Linked DNA regions of Coturnix japonica. The protein of the gene in region 1 interacts with the protein of each later gene in a biochemical or structural test. Links are inferred from orthologs where the notes say so. Each region holds a gene or a part of one and is shown on either strand. Other genes may lie near its edges. The genes, in order: E-selectin-like and CD24.

Region 1 (3,908 bases):
CCAGACCCCAGGAAAGACCAGGGAACACGTCTACAACCTACACACTCTTACCTCATCCTTCCAGCTCCTGCAGCCCCACGTGCTCAGCCTCATCTCACCTCTCCCCATCCACCTCAGCTGAGTCCCACCTGGGTTCCATTAGCAGCCCTGGCAGCCCCCATACCTCCAGCCCTGTGCAGCTGGGCACAGTGTTTGCAGCACTCAAGCTGCAATTGTATTTTTGTTTTCCTTGCAGACCTAAATCTCAGTCTCCTCCTGACACTTCTACTTTTGCCTCTGCTCTTCTGCTGATTTGCAAAAGGTCTTTTGTAAACTGATCCACACCACACAGGATTTCTAGGACAGAGCACATTCCTTGCCCCATGCAGTGCCAATGTGCAAAGGAAATATCCTACAGGCACCAAAGCCATGTGTCTGTGGGTCCCCCAAAATAACTCCACTGCCCTTCTCCAGTTTTCCATTCCCTCAGGGTCACGGTGGGCACCTTACCACATGTAAAGGCAGCGATGCTCAGGCAGCAGACACCACAAGAGCTGAGAGCCCTCATCCTCCGAGTGCAGTGCTGTCCCACAGTGGTGCCCTGTGTGCCGGAGAGAAGGGCATGAGCATGCATTCTTGTCAGCTGCAGGATACCCACCCGCAACCCTCCCTGCCCCCTACACAAGCAGACCCCAGCTGTCCCAATGGGAAGAAACAGGCAGACCTACCACACTGGTGCTGCAGGGTGCCTGCTGCACCTGGCCCTTGCCCTGGGCAGGCAGCACTGCTCACGCTTCCTTCAAGCCTCAGAGCATCGCTCCCTCCCCCCAAGTCTCTTCCCCTCCTGACCCAGCCCTGCTGCCAGCCCGCATCCTGCCCCGCTGCGTCCCCCCCACTGCCAGGAAACTGCTGCCAGCTGGAGACTTGCACCCCAATGAGGGGCCAGCCTGGTGTGCAGCCACCCAGAGCCCTCCAACCCACCATGTCGGTGGCAGCAACAAGGAGAGGACAGAGTAGGATGAGGTGTGTGGACCTGCACCAGGCAGAACAGGAACGAGGTAAGCGGCTCCTGGATCCTGTTGCAGGCTGTGAATTGTCATATACCACTAAAGACCAATTAGTTACACAATGTATTTTCCTGTTTCTGCCTTTTAAAATCTTTATGAGAAAGATCCAAAAAACAGGATGGGGGAACTTCCCCCCATTAAATGTCATTTATGAACTTCTACCTATGCTTCAGGAAGGTGCCCATTGTGTGCAGCATCACCATCTATCTATTTTTACACATGTTCTACTTCTAAGTAATATCATTTTGGCAGGGTTTTCTGAGGGAATTACTCTGCTCACTTCCAGCTAAAGCCAAGGCAAGAGCCATTTGGATCACATGCATGTTCCAGTTCCAAGAGAAATAAATGATGCCCCAGTGGGACTCACATGACACAAAAGGAGGAACCCATCCCCAAAATCCATAACTCATTACAGTGACCTTCTGCTTGGCCAATGCAAATGAACTTCTGTTCCTGTCCTTTGTTATCATCCTTGCAAAATATTTTGGTGCAGTTCTCCCTCTTTCTGTGCATGCAGTGACCCAGCAGCATTCGCTTTGCCAGCTCCCATGCAGAAAGTGTAGCTTGGGACAAGGAATGCCATCCCAGTGGACAGAGAGGCTGCTGGGTGGATTCTGGGCAGGGGGACACCTCAGGAAGCCACAGTCCCCTGAGCAGGACAAAGCTGCTTCTGCACTAGGACAGTCAGAGGGGTGCTGCTGGATGCTCGGCCCCATGGGAGGGCAGGAAGAAAATGGGCCGTGCCCCTGCAGGTTTCACTTCTGCTGGCACAGGACACAACAGGGCAGAACAATAGAAAAAAAACATCCCCACCTTTATTTTTGTCATTACAAATAGTTTCTGGTGTTGCTGTAAAAGCAGAAGTGAACTGGCCGAGACCTGAAGGTGGACACTGCAAGGGGAAGGATGCAGCCCTGAACCCATGCTTTATATGTAAAGGAGAGGGGTATATGTGGCAGAGGGGAATGAATGAGGACTGCAGTCAGTTCTGCAGCTCTGCTGGGAGCCAGAGGTAATCTTGTTTTGCTGGTGTCTTTCAGGGCCAGCTCCTGGGCAAATGTCAGCATGCTGCAGGGCACGTACTCCTCACAGGGATCCTGCAGGCTCCTCCATCATTGTGAGGCTGAGTGGGGTGCTCCCCTGCCACTTGGGAGGAGCCCCTCACCATGCACACTGCTCTTGTTTTGGCAGAGGCCCCATCCCTGTGTGGTACAGCCCTCTCCTCTTCTTGAGCAATGCTCCCTGCAAACCGCAAAGGAACCGACTCACCCTGACACAGCCTGCATGGAGCAGCTGCCTCTGACGACACCACAGACACATCCCCAGGCACCTTCTGCAGCCCCCAGGGCATGGAGACAAGGGGCACCCCCAAGGGGTGCAGCCATCGGGTACATCCCTGTTCCCACTCCCCCTCTCCCCTCCCCCATGCCACCCCATTTCCAGACCCTGCACTGAGCCAGGATGCTCTCTCTGAAGGCACCTCCTGGGCATGGGCTGGGGATGGCTCCCCCTCTACAGTGCCACCATGGGGGCTTTTTGTCCCCAAAGTTGTCCCCAGCTGAGAGGTGCCTCTGAGCGCATCTCACCTCAGTGCCCCTGAAGTGTGGCACACAGTACAATCTTTCTCAGAATCTGAAAGTGGTAACAGTTTGGCCACAGGAAGACATGTTTACTCAAATATCACCCCAACCAGGGCAGGGCAAGATGGAGGCACTGATTTGCTGAGCAGGATGGGGATGTCCCCAAATGTTCCTGGCATGCCCCAGGTGGAACAATGCTGGCTGCAAGATGCTGGGGGCTTCGGGGCCCCTGCCCACCACAATGTGTCCCCCTTGCCCTGTTAATGCCCCTCGGAGCCATTTCTCTGACCCTGTAGATCTCAGCCTTGTGCCTTCACCCTGCAACAAAAGGACAAAGAGCCGTATGGTATTGCTGCTATTTGTGCACCCCTGGAGCTGGCTCCTGTTGCCTGGCTGCAGCAGCACGTGCCTGGCATGGGTAACGATTTGCCAAACAGGATGGTGGGGGTGGAGATAATGGAAACTTATCTCAGTGCTGGTGTTGTGAGCAGTAAACAAGTGGCCCTGCCTGTCAGGGTGAGTGCAGCCTGGGGCATCCGGTCCCACCCAGCCCTACTCACTGCCCTCATGGCACTGCCTTGCGTCCCCCGGACATCACCACTGCTACTGCAACAGTCTGGTTTAATGCTTTAATGCAGTCTTCTTATTTCAAGAGGGCAAGCCCAGAGGCGGATTCTGCTGCCCGTCCCCCCAGCACGTTTTTGCTCCCCTCTGCCTCTTCCCTTCCCCTCACTCTGGCTCTGTGCAGCCCATCTGGCTCTCTCAACAGCAGATCTGGCTCCGCAGCCATACAGCTCTGCAAAGAGCCATGGAGATGAATCAGGTGAACGCATTCAGCCACGAGAGCCCTGCCTCTGGCCACTGCCAGCCCCACAGAGCAAACAATGTCCTGTCCTCCTGCCAGGAAATCCGGAGGCAGTCCTGGCCATGCAGCGAGGCCAGCTCCATTTTCCTGCACACAGAAGCATCCTTGAGCAGTTCATTCTTCACCTTTTGGCAGCTGAGGGCTGACTTTTCCTCTCCTTCCAGCCTCAGGCAAGCACCCTGCCTTGTGCTTCCTGCCCTCTTGTGTTCAGCACCAGCAGTGCTGTGATTCTTTCTGCCCTGGGACCTTGGTTATTTTTGTGCTCTTGAGGACCTTGCTCCTTGGAAAGTGCCCTTCTCCTCGCTGCCTTCTGGATACAGAGCTGTGGAGACGTCTCTCCTGCATTCTGGTCCTGCTGCTTGTCTCAGGGTTGGCTGGTTCCTCTCTCACAGTCCTCATTTTTGAGGCGAGTCTCTG
Region 2 (3,908 bases), on another chromosome or scaffold:
GAAGATCTTTCACATACATTGCTACCAGCCATAGATTATAACTGTATGGGCTGTGTGAGAAACAGAACCATTCAAGCTTTTGTTTCCTAGAGGTTCTAGGAGCTCTGACTTTACTGAACTTAATGGAGGGTAAACACCTCTTCAAGGTATCAATTCTAAGCTGCAGGTAAAGTCTCTAGCCTTCTGTTTTGGTGGAGTGTTATCATCCATCCTTATCGTGGACACTGTATTTCTTCTCAGCTTTAAATCAGGGGTGTCAATACTGTCTGGTTTTGCTTCCATCATTATGCCAATTTCAAAGTTGTTAGGTGAAAGAGCACATCATTTCACCTCCACGCCGAAGATGAGCAAATCCTTTTCACGTTGGTCAGCTTTGGAAAGTCAGAACAGTGGGGGTGCTTCTCTAGGTCAGACTGGTACTAGTTACAGTATGGAGTGGAACCAAGCTGGTTTGATGCAGAGTTTGGACTGATTCATTTTCATGCTAGGTCGAAGATCTAGCCATCTCAGATGGTTCAGGAAACTGGGTGGGGAGTGGTAGCCATTTTCCTGCCCTTCTCTTAACAGCAAAAATACAGAAGAGAAACTGAGAGAATGAAAAGGAGACTTGTGGCGGATTGAAGGGCATTTCCATGTCCGTGAACGGTGGTACTGTTCAGTGAATTTACGGCAGCTGGCAAAGTGGAACTCGCTGAAGAATTGTTTGAAGGTGTTGGACTTGTTCCATTGGGATCACAGTAGATCTAGAATGTGGGTAGAGAAAGTTAATGAAAAGCAATTTTTTTTTTCTGCTCTTTAATAATAAAAATCAGGAGCCAGGCAGTCCTCTGAATGACAGACCTATTTAAGTGGACTTTGCAAGATAACAGAGGGGAGGCTGAAACACTGTGGTAGTACTGAACTGCAGAACTTAATGGAATTATACTGATTAAATCAAAACCTATTGGCATGCTAGTACAGACAATAAGAAGTGCAGTGGAAAGCCCATACAATACCAGCAAATAGAAGAGATGCTGACAAAGAACAATGGGAACAAAATCCCCACTCATTACTCTGCATTAATTGCAACAGAACAGTAGAAATTTGCACCCTATGTAACTTCAACATAAACCTGTACCCTACACATACAGGAAAGCTCTCAAAGCTGAGCTTTGAAGCTGGTCCTTCCCTTCCAGTGGAAGACATGAGGGTGGAGAACAAAAGGTAAGAATCATGAGGAGGAGGAGAGGGGAAAAAACTCACAGTTCAGCAAGCTTAGCTGTAGTTCTGCACCAGCAAACCTATGTTAAACCAGAGCCCTCTCGTACACGGGAGTAGAGTTTGAAGTAAAAACATTTAAGAGCAACTACTTTAGTAACACTCTCCATAAAAGAAGCCTTTATTCTCTTGTATTTCCAGGGCTGCTGAGAACATTACTGCCTTTAGCAGAAGTGATGTATGTTGTACCTCAACACTGAGGCTATAAAATCAACGTTAAATACATTTGAAACTTGCATGAGCATATCCTGAATAAAAGCACATCATAGAAAGACAGCAGGCTAGTATGAAGCCTCCGACAGCTAAGATTTTTTGGCAAGCACGAATATACTGGAAACAATTCAAGACTGCAGAACTTGGGGGGAAAAAAAAAAGAAAAAGCAGTGAAGTTTATGTTGAAGCCAGTGAGTGAGTGATCAATACAGAAGCGCAGTTAAGACCCTATAAACTGGTTAAGAGATAAGACTCCACGTGCCTCGGAATTTTCTCAGTCTTCACACATTCCTCCTTCCCTGTTTCCCACTGGGATACGTATTTATTAAGTTACCTCGGCTGTGAGCACAAAGCCCGGATTCTGGGTGGGTGCGCAAAGGGAGGGCTCAGAAACCCCAGAGAACCCAGACAAAGCTTCCTACATTCCCTTAACAAACATCGGCACCCACACGATCAGACCCTGCTCTATTGAGACCAACTCAAAAGGGACGAAGTTTTTCTTTCCAAACAACAAAAGCAAGCGGATTTGAAACCCCCTCTCGGGAGCTTCTCGCCGCTCATTCGCTCCGTGCGGAGCTACGGGCCCTTTTCACGAGGGGTTCTTAGAAACGCGTCCCCGCAGCGTGGACGAGCACCGCGCTGCCTCCCCACCCCGCAGCCGGCGGAGCTCGGCCGGCACGGCGATACCCGCAGCCAGCCCCGGACCGCCCACCCCGCCGCGCCTCACCCGCACCATGGGGGCTCGGACCAGCGGGACCGGCCGCCCTCGGGCTCTAAGTCTTATTTATTTCCGAGGGCCGCTCGGCTTTATTATTATTTGAGCCTCTTTTTTTCAGCGGAGAATCGATGCTTCTCCGCCACGCGGCACCGCACGGAGACGAAGCGCCCGCACCGCCGCTCCGTGCCGCTCTCTCGAGGATCCCGCAGACAAAGGGGCGAGAGCCAACCTCGCCGAGCGGCACCGAGCGGCCCCCCCAGCCCGAGCTCGCCCCGGGGTAGAGGCAGGGGCTCCGAACGGCGGCCCCCGCCCCGCAGGCTCCCCCGGAGGAGCACCCCGCTCCGGGAGGGTCCCCGCGTGGCCGCTCTCCCGTCTCTCGCGGCGGGGCTCACCTGCGTGGGTAGGAGGAGCGCCAGGAGCAGGAGCCCCAGGCCGAGCCGTGCCGCCAGCGCTGTCCCCACTGCCGTCCCCATGCCCTTCTGCTGCTGATCCGCTGCGTGCCGCACCGATGCTGCCGCTGATCCAAGCGCTGCGACGGCGAACGAGACGGCTGAGCCGCGCCCGGGCTTTTTATAGGAGCGCGGGCTGCCGTGACGCCCCGCCGTCGCCGCCTTCCCCACCTCCTACCCGCACCTCTGCCCCCGCCCCCCGGCGCCGACCCCGCGCTCCCTACGCTCCCCGCGAGGTGTTGGCTGCGTCGCCGCCCCGGCCTCGGTCCGGCTATGGGGCTGAGCTGCGTTTCCCCACCTGCGGGCACAACGTCTGTGCCTTTGTTTTGTGCCCACCTCGTGCTCTGGCGCTTCAGCACGGCGTGGCCACAAGGGATCACATCTGCTTGTCATCTCTTATCTCTTATCAGAAGCAGCGATAAATTCTGCTTGTGAAGATCACGGAAGCATAGAATCGCTAAGGCTGGAAAAGCCCTCTAAGCTCACCTAGTCCAATCAGCAGCCCATCCCCACCATGTCCTCTAACCAGGTCCCTCAGTGCCACATCCACACGTTTTTATAACACCTCCAGGGTCCGTGACTCCACCACCTCCCCGTGCAGCCTGTGCCACTGCAGCACCACTCTCTCTGAGAAGAAATGGTTCCTATCTCCAACCTGAACCTCCCCTGGTGCGACTTGAGGCCGTTTCCTCCAGTCCCATCACTACACAGGAGAAGAAGCCAACTCCCACCTCACCACAACGAAAAGTTGTACAGATCTATAATGTCTCCTCCAGACTGAGCAACCCCAGTTCCCTCAGAACATCAGGCTTTTCTATTTAAAAACCGAGCTCATAGATGCGGGGAGGACGGGTAAAGAAAGCTGTATTTCCAGATGGTAGAAACAAGGAGTGAAGAGTTGAAGAGCTGAGGCCCCACCTTCCCCCCGGCTGTTGGGTGGGTACCTTCCCACCAGTGCTCAGCCTTCAGACCACAGCTCGCAGTTCCAGATGCTCTTTGGATCTGAATATTTTATTATTATCATTATTCCTTAAAGAGCAGGAAACCTGTGTAACAAGTGGAACAGGAGGTTCTTCCAGTTGTAACCTGTACATAAGATTCTAGCTACTGGCGTAGTTAACACTGTATTGGGAATCCTCCCTGGTAGGTTCTGCCTTGCTGAATCGATGCGATCCTTGCTCTGTTCCAAGATGAAAGATCTTAGGAGAGTTACACAAACCCTGAAGCACTTCTGGGTGATGTTTCCTTGTTTTTTGGTGTGTATTTGATTT

The links.
Region 2: the proteins of E-selectin-like (region 1) and CD24 form a complex in vitro, tested with the Homo sapiens proteins (2 studies listed by BioGRID and IntAct). The link is inferred for Coturnix japonica from reciprocal best matches to the Homo sapiens genes SELP and CD24.

Annotation. Positions count from the first base shown.
Region 1 is NC_029523.1:3,600,241-3,604,148, reverse strand, and holds the start of E-selectin-like, read right to left. Parts: upstream 2,398-3,908; coding exon 2,316-2,397; intron 764-2,315; coding exon 708-763; intron 581-707; coding exon 490-580; intron 1-489. UniProt on the Homo sapiens protein: Ca(2+)-dependent receptor for myeloid cells that binds to carbohydrates on neutrophils and monocytes. Mediates the interaction of activated endothelial cells or platelets with leukocytes. The ligand recognized is sialyl-Lewis X.
Region 2 is NC_029518.1:61,827,391-61,831,298, reverse strand, and holds the start of CD24 (signal transducer CD24), read right to left. Parts: upstream 2,808-3,908; 5' UTR 2,662-2,807; coding exon 2,581-2,661; intron 744-2,580; coding exon 561-743; 3' UTR 1-560.